Linked DNA regions of Ovis aries. The protein of the gene in region 2 interacts with the protein of the main gene of each other region in a pairwise test. Links are inferred from orthologs where the notes say so. Each region holds a gene or a part of one and is shown on either strand. Other genes may lie near its edges.

Evidence for each region. The genes of interacting proteins can lie anywhere in the genome.
Region 1: the proteins of CBX5 (region 2) and PRR14 interact in binary tests that used the Homo sapiens proteins (3 or more experiments, as listed by UniProt). The two-hybrid records come from large-scale screens. The link is inferred for Ovis aries from reciprocal best matches to the Homo sapiens genes CBX5 and PRR14.

The regions. Positions count from the first base shown.
Region 1 is NC_056077.1:27,281,351-27,285,590, forward strand, and holds the start of PRR14 (proline-rich protein 14), read left to right. Parts: upstream 1-1,440; 5' UTR 1,441-4,240. UniProt on the Homo sapiens protein: Functions in tethering peripheral heterochromatin to the nuclear lamina during interphase, possibly through the interaction with heterochromatin protein CBX5/HP1 alpha. Might play a role in reattaching heterochromatin to the nuclear lamina at mitotic exit.
Region 2 is NC_056056.1:132,289,499-132,292,998, forward strand, and holds part of CBX5 (chromobox protein homolog 5), read left to right. Parts: intron 1-1,260; coding exon 1,261-1,447; intron 1,448-3,500. UniProt on the Homo sapiens protein: Component of heterochromatin that recognizes and binds histone H3 tails methylated at 'Lys-9' (H3K9me), leading to epigenetic repression. In contrast, it is excluded from chromatin when 'Tyr-41' of histone H3 is phosphorylated (H3Y41ph).

The DNA of each region.
Region 1 (4,240 bases), on a different chromosome or scaffold from region 2:
TACCATGATTGGATGGGAGTTAGCCCAGGGGTGCAAGGTTGGCATGACATCTGAAAATTAATTCATGTAATACATCATGTGTCAATAAAGACAAAACCACAAAATCATCTTAACAGATGTGCAAAAAGAATTTGACAAAATCTTTTACATTTCCTTTACATGCAGTGTCCAGAAAAGGCACATCTTCAGAGACCGAAAGCAGATTAGGGTTGCCAGGAGCTGAGGGAGGAGAGAATGAGGAGTGATAGCTGAGGAGTTTCTTTCTGGGGTTATGAAAATGTGCTTAGTTGATTGTGGTGATGGTTTCATAACTCTAAATATACTAAAAAAAAACACCCCACACCATTGAATTGTACAGTTTAAACGGGTGAATTATATGGTGTGTGAATAATATCTCAATAAAGCCGTTAAAAAACAAAACTATGTCTTGCCTGGAGAATCCCAGGGACGGGGGAGCCTGGTGGGCTGCCCTCTCTGGGGTAGCACAGAGTTGGACGCGACTGAAGCGACTTAGCAGTAGCAGCAGCAGTCATAGACATAGCAAGATGATCGTGGTAAATAATTATAAAAGGCTTCGTAGACACTCTAGGACAGCCCCTCCCCAAGCTTCAGCTCACTACGCCCCCTGTTCCTCGGGCATTTTGCCCGGTTTGAGTAATCCGCTTCTGGGGCTCCCGTCTAAGAACTCGCTTAATTAGGTACTCTGTGAATAGACGAATAAAGGGAGACCACGAAAGGCCCTCACAGAGTGCCCCCAGGTGGCCATAGGTCTCTACATCACTTTCGGTAAAGAGCCTTCTGCGCCTCAGATTTCACTTCTCCAAGACTAACTCTGCCGCGGCGGTAAAGCTAAACAGCTCACAGCCTCCTTGGCGGGATCCAGGCTCTGGGCTTCAACTGCGGAACGGTGCTGGTGCGGCGGGCTTGAATTCTTCCAGTCCCCAAGTCCTGGATGCCCCAATCCAAGGGCCACTCTCTTTTCCGAGCCAAGGAGCACTGCCCTGCTAGACCCGGCGTCTGAGTCGGCCCGGATCTGGCTACAAGTTGGGGCCAAGCTGCGGCCAAAACAGAGGAATCATAGCGTCGTGGGTCACTCTAGGACTCAACAGTGAACAAAGGCATCGGAAAATGCCCTAAGAGAATATGGCGGCGACTGCCTTCACAACCATCATTCAAATACAGTCGGAAGCTAGTCATTCGTTTCCTTCAGATGATCTTATCAAATAAGAGCCAGCTCCAAATATTTAGCTCCAGCTCTTAATACTCCTAACCCATTGGTGCTTGCGGAGATTAGCTTGAGGACGTGTCTTCTGACAATGCCCAGTGATTGGACTGTTTACATCACTGAAATAACGAAGTCCACGCTGATTGGCCTCCTGGGCCAGACTCCAGGACGCTGTTGCTAGGTAACGCCTGACAGAGGGCCAGGTTCTCAGGTCTGCAGCAGGAGTCCCCAGGAGGTTACTAATGCAGGGAGCCCAAACTGATCAGCGCCCTCTGGGAGATTCTACGTCGACTCTTTCTGTTCTGCTGACCCCCAAGGCCTCAGAGAGTGCGTCCTGACAGCAAAATGAACTGGGTTCCTGTCCTGAGATATGCCGGTTTTATGGAACTGAGCACCTTTGTGGAATTTCTACATTGTTCCAGGTGCAAAACAGTCTTCTCATTGGAATCATCTAACTCTGAGCAACGCTCCATGTGAGGTCAGGGAGTGTGGTCCCTGTTAAAGACTCTTTGCAACCCCAAGGACTGTAGCCTGCCAGGCCCCTCTGTCCATGGGATTTTCCAGGCACGAGTACTGGAGTGGGTTGCCATTTCCTTCTCCAGGGGATCTTTCCAACCCAGGGGTCGAACCCAGGTCTCCCGCATTGCAGGTGGACGCTTTACCGTCTGAGCCACCACGGAAGCCCTATTTAAGAATAAGATTTTTTTAAAAAAAAGAACATTGAGACTGGGTGACTGGTACGCAGGTCTATCTGGCTCCAAGTCCAGTGCTCTTTCTGACCTAATCACTAGGGCTTTTCCTTCTGAGACATCTTGGCCCCGAGACTGTCCATTTCTTGACAGTCTTGTCATAAAGTCCCTGACAGACTAGCTGGACTTCAGTGACTTACAGAAGAGCCCCCTTCCCTTTTCTCCACCGCTCTGACAGCTGAGTGGGCAAAGTCAGAATTTAACCTGAGCATCTAATAACTATAGTGAAACAAGAAAAACAACCCACACCGTGTGCCAGCAGCTGTGCGGTTTGGTGGTTTAGTCGCCAAGTTGTGTCCGACTCTTGCGACCCCATGGACTTTCCGAATGGGGGCGCTCAAGCGCAGTCGAGTTAGAACCTCTTTACTGTAACATTTGTGTGTGCTATGTCGCTTCAGTTGTGTCTGACTCTTTGCGACCCCATGGACTATATAGCCCACCAGGCTCCTCTATCCATAGGATTCTCCAGGCAAGAATAATAGAGTGGGTTGCCATTTCCTTCTCCAGGGGATCTTCCCGACCCAGGGATTAAACCTACGCTTCAGGCGGCTCCTGCCTTGCAGGCAGATTCTCTACCGCTGAGGCACCGGGGAAGCCCAACACTGCTAAATTAAGGAACAGCAATAGAATCCAATGTATCTGGTTTTGAAGCCCATGTATCCTAACCATTCTGCTGTACAGCTACTCCTGGCACAGCAATTTCTCAAAAATATTGAAATAATGGGGAAAAAATTTGTTTGCTTTCCCCTTTTACTGGCTACTGGGCTACATTTTCATCACCTGTCCACCTAGGACAAATTCATGCCAACCAGGTTGTTGTCCTACTGTTCTGCTAAAGGAATTCTCTCCAGTCCTGCCAACCTCTTTGTTAAAACACTCTGCCGCTTTCCTCCAGTGGCTTCTGAATCCCTTTTTGTTTTGTTGGTTTTATTTTTCAGTTCATCTTTCTGTTTTCTTTGTTACATCCCTTATTTTTAATGTAAATTTCCCGAAGTTTCAGGCATCCAACTGCAGTTGAGAAATCCGCCTCTAGGCCTGCACATCTAACTGGCTGCTAAATATTTTCACATATTTGTTGAGTCGAAAGAGCTTGTTGTTTTTCCTAAACATTTTAGTTGATTATTCAACTATACTTCATTTACGTTGCTAGTATATCAGACCTAAAATCCTGTTATCCTAGTCCTTCCTTCTCATGGCTTTTCCCTGCCAGTTCCAGTCTATTCTGTATCCTATAGTTTAGGATAAATCTGTGGAAAAAAAACAGGCAAAGGTCCTCTCAAGATGCTTACATTCCACTGTGGGAGAATGGTCCATTTCTAATAAACATAGATAAGGGTGGGCCCAAGGGTATCAGTTGTCTTGCTCAGAACCAGATAGTCCTGCTCAGTGAAAAACTGTCCTTTGTTCCCCATCATTGTCAGAATGCTCCATGGACATTCATGTAGGTAAAAATAGGTTTGTGATTGTCTGAGTACAGAACCTGAATCTACTTTATGTAGAAGCACAAACTTACAAGTACAGTTTTAATCCCGACATTTCCAGGAAAGCCTGTGTATACGGAGGGAAGATTTTATTTTGTTTAGTTTGGAATTTTGCTGAGAATTGTTTGCCATTTTGGAAAATCACAGCATAAATGGCTACACTTGAATCTGAATCAGCAATAGAACCCATCTGTGACAGCCTGAGTTTGTAGCTGCTCAGTTTAGTTCAGTTCAGTTGCTCGGTCGTGTCCAACTCTTTGCGACCCCATGGACCTCAGCATGCCAGGCCTCCCTGTCCATCACCTACTCCCAGAGTTTACCCAAACTCATGTCCATTGAGTCAGTGATGCCATGCAACCATCTCATCCTCTGTCGTTCCCTTCTCCTGCCTTCAATCTTTCCCAGCATCAGGGTCTTTTCCAATGAGTCAGTTCTTTGCATCAGATGGCCAAAGTATTAGAGTTTCAGCTTCAACATCAGTCCTTCCAATGAACACTTAGGATCGATCTCCTTTAGGATGGACTAGTGAGGTCTCGTTGCAGTTCAAGGAACTTTCAAGAGTCTTCTCCAACACCACAGTTCAAAGGCATCAATTCTTTGGCACTCAGCTTTCTTTATAGTCCAGCTCTCAAATCCATACATGATTACTGGAGAAACCACAGCTTTGACTAGAGGGACCTTTGTTGGCAAAGTAATGTCTCTGCTTTTTAATATGCTGTCTAGGTTGGTCATAAACTTCCTTCCAAGGAGTAAGCATCTTTTCATTTCATGACTGCAGTCACTGT
Region 2 (3,500 bases):
AAATAGTGCATAAATGTAAAAAATATTTCCTAAGTCAGTGAAGGGATTATAGAAACTGTGTCTGTGATATGTGTACAGATATATCTTAATGTAGCTAGTTCTTAATGAAAGAACCTCTGCCACTGGCTAGGAGTGAAGAGGATGCCTGGTCTGGTTTTTCCCAAAGAAGATAAATTTCTTGCTTTTATTACATAACCTGCTCTTGGTATTAGTGATTTGCACTTCTAAAATCCATGCTAGAAATACAGAGAACAAGTTTGTGAATGCAAACTTTATTTTCCTCATAGAAGGACTCCCCTTGATCCGAGTTTAATTAGACACAGTTATTTAACTTGAATTATTTTTGCTTATTAATATAGAAATGCATTTTGATTACCTAGTGACAGTAGACCTGAATCCAGAGCAATGAATGAATGGGCTCCAAATCCCAGTTTTGAGTCTTTTCCTTTTTATGGTTCGCTTATATTCTAATGATTTAACCCCTTACTGCCTTTTTTTCTAATTAACTACTGAAGTCTTCCATCAATTTGCTGGCATTTCTTGGAAATATAAGTAACATAATTAAGACAGTGTAAACTGGAATGCATTTAGAATTAGATTGTCCTCTCTCCAGGATTTGCAAAGATGATGTATGAAATCACATTTGCCACTTACAAAGCAGAACTTATATTTGAGTGTTTAACAGGTTTATTGAGCCATAGTTTACATACCATAAAATTCATTTACTGAAAGTACACAATTCAGTGATTTGTGGTAAATTTTTAGAGCTGTGCCGCCTTCAGCATAGTCCAGTTTCAGAACATTTCCGTAACCTCCCCAAATTCCCTTGGACATTTTTGTATTTAATTGCAAGCCCCAGCCACAAGGAACGACTGATCAGCACCTGTTTATTTTAGCTTAGCACAGTCTAGAAGTGCTTCCGTGTTGTAGCATATATTAGTATTACGTCCCTTTTTTGTTGCTGAATAGTATTTCATTGTATGGATATACCATGTTATGTTTATCTGTTCGCCTATTGGCAGGCATTTGAATTGTTTTCTGTCTTTGACTCCTAAAATGCTGCTATAGTTGTGTGCAAGTTTTTTTGTGTGTGTGTGTCTCAATATATTGGATAGATTCTAGAATCAAATTGATTATCTCCTTTAAGCATAGGAATTCTATTCCCTTTTTGCCTATTTGTCTTCTGTAAAGTAAGGTATTGGATTTCCTCCTACCCCAAAACTTCTTCATTTCTTTCCTTTTTTCTCCATTCTTGCCCAGGGAGCACAATACTTGGGAACCTGAGAAAAACTTGGATTGCCCTGAGCTAATTTCTGAGTTTATGAAAAAGTATAAGAAGATGAAGGAGGGTGAAAATAACAAACCCAGGGAGAAATCAGAAAGTAACAAGAGGAAATCCAATTTCTCAAACAGTGCTGATGATATTAAGTCCAAAAAAAAGAGAGAGGTAAGCTTCATTTCTCCTCTCCTTCCCCCCCACCCCCCACTCTTCTGCTTCCTGTGCTTCCTCCTCGCTTCACCCAAAAAAGAGGGGCACTGTTTTGGTTGTTTTTATTCTAGGGATGGCCTATACGGTAAATTGTTGAACACAGGAGCTCCCCGGGGAGTTTTGTTGATCCACTACAGCGCCCCCTCCTGGCTGAGTAAGAAATGTACTATGTGTCCACTGAATTGTGTCAAGGTGGCAAAATTAAATCCCTGTAAAACATTCAGCCACTCAGTGCCTTTTTTGTGAATAGGTGGCTGAGTTGTCTTATGGAGAGTCTTCAGTGAATTTTTTAGGGATAGAAAGAAGCTTTAAAATATCTACTACTTCACTTTTTTCTTTTATTCCAAAGAGAGCACTTAACTTTAACCCTTTATATTCTTTCTTTTTTAACCAGGTGAAAACACATAACATACAACTAACCATTTTATTTTTTTTTTTAATTATTTATTTATGGCCACACCAACACATGTAGGATCTTAATTCCCTGACCAGACTCAAACCCATGCCCCTGCATGGGAAGTGCGTAGTCTTCACCACTGGACTGTCAGGGAAGTCCCCAGTTAACCATCTTAAAGTGAACAGCTCAGTGGCATGTGTAGTCTCTCTTGATCCTATTGTATTTTTGCATTCTTCAAATAAATTACTTTTCATCTTCCTTATGAATATTTTTATTGTTCAGTTTTTGAAAATGTGTTTATGAAACTTTGGTTTGATTCAGTTATTTTAATCCTTCTGATATATAGCTGTTAAGTAACTAGCCATAAGCACTGTTCCTGTCTTTTTTTTTTCTTGTCTATATCTTTTCCATGTGTGCACATGTGTCTCCATCACCCCCCACAGCTTCCATTCCTTTCATTAATTTCAAGGTTGTGAAGTCTTTTGTGGTGAAGGATATATCATACCCTTAAAGTTTAATAAAATAAAAGTGTAAGTCTGCTTCTGAATCTTCTAGCATCCCTGCCATAAGCATCCATATTTATCTTCATTCTCCTTGGATACCCGTCTTGCTAGAGCATTAGTTCTCAGCCCTGGCTGCATATTAGACTCATGGCAAGGGGGGCAGGCGGGTGTTTCAAAAGCCTCCAGTATTGCTGTGGAAAAAGAAGCCTCCGGTGCCCAAGATGCACTCCAGACCAATAAAATTCAAATTTCTGTGGGTTGGACCTATGCGTTAGTATTTTCTAGAGACTTACACAGGTGATTCCTGGTCTCCAGAGGAGAGAAAATGGGAGAACAACTTTCCAAAAAGAATTGAAATAAGAATGAAAGATTGGAGGCTGTCAGTGAAAGTGGACGCTAGTATTTTGTTTGTTTCCCTGATTAATTTTATTTTTTGCAATCTTATTTTTTAAAACTCCCCTGTTCTGGTGAGGTGTGTATATCATTATGATATAGCATACTAGTAGATAATTTGAAAATGCCTTCCCTTCTCTAAGGAGCTAAGACTTGGGTCTGTCTTTCTGTTTTACTTTTTTATTAGTCCTTTGTATTCTGGTTCTTGTCATTTGATGCATTTTCCAGCTAAGTAAAGAGACCAAGAAACAACACAGCATGACTTCTGTAGCCGTTTTTGACATTCAGTGTGTATTTCCTCAACCTAACGTTTATGTCCTTTTAAAAAGGAGCAGTCTGGGGGTGGGGGGGGGGGAGGAGCAATCTGACTTTGAGACACTGGCCAGTGCAGAGTTTGGTTCCTAGGCCAGGATGCTGGCCTTTTGATGCTGCTGACCTTGAAAACCACCCCCACACACACATGTCCCTTACATTGTAATGTTCATCTGGGGCCCCTGGCAGCATTCTCAGCAGTGCTGATGGCTGTCATGTAGGCAGCTGGTAAGATAGGTGATTGTATATTTTAAAGGTGCAGGGGGGGATTTCGTTTCTTTCTTTAGACCACTGCAGAGGAAATTTGTTAGTCGGCATTATGCCTGATTTAAGATTACTGCCTGTGTGATGATTTTAGCATTTTCCTCGCCTCGGCTCCTTTTCAGCTGCTTGAACATTTTTCTTC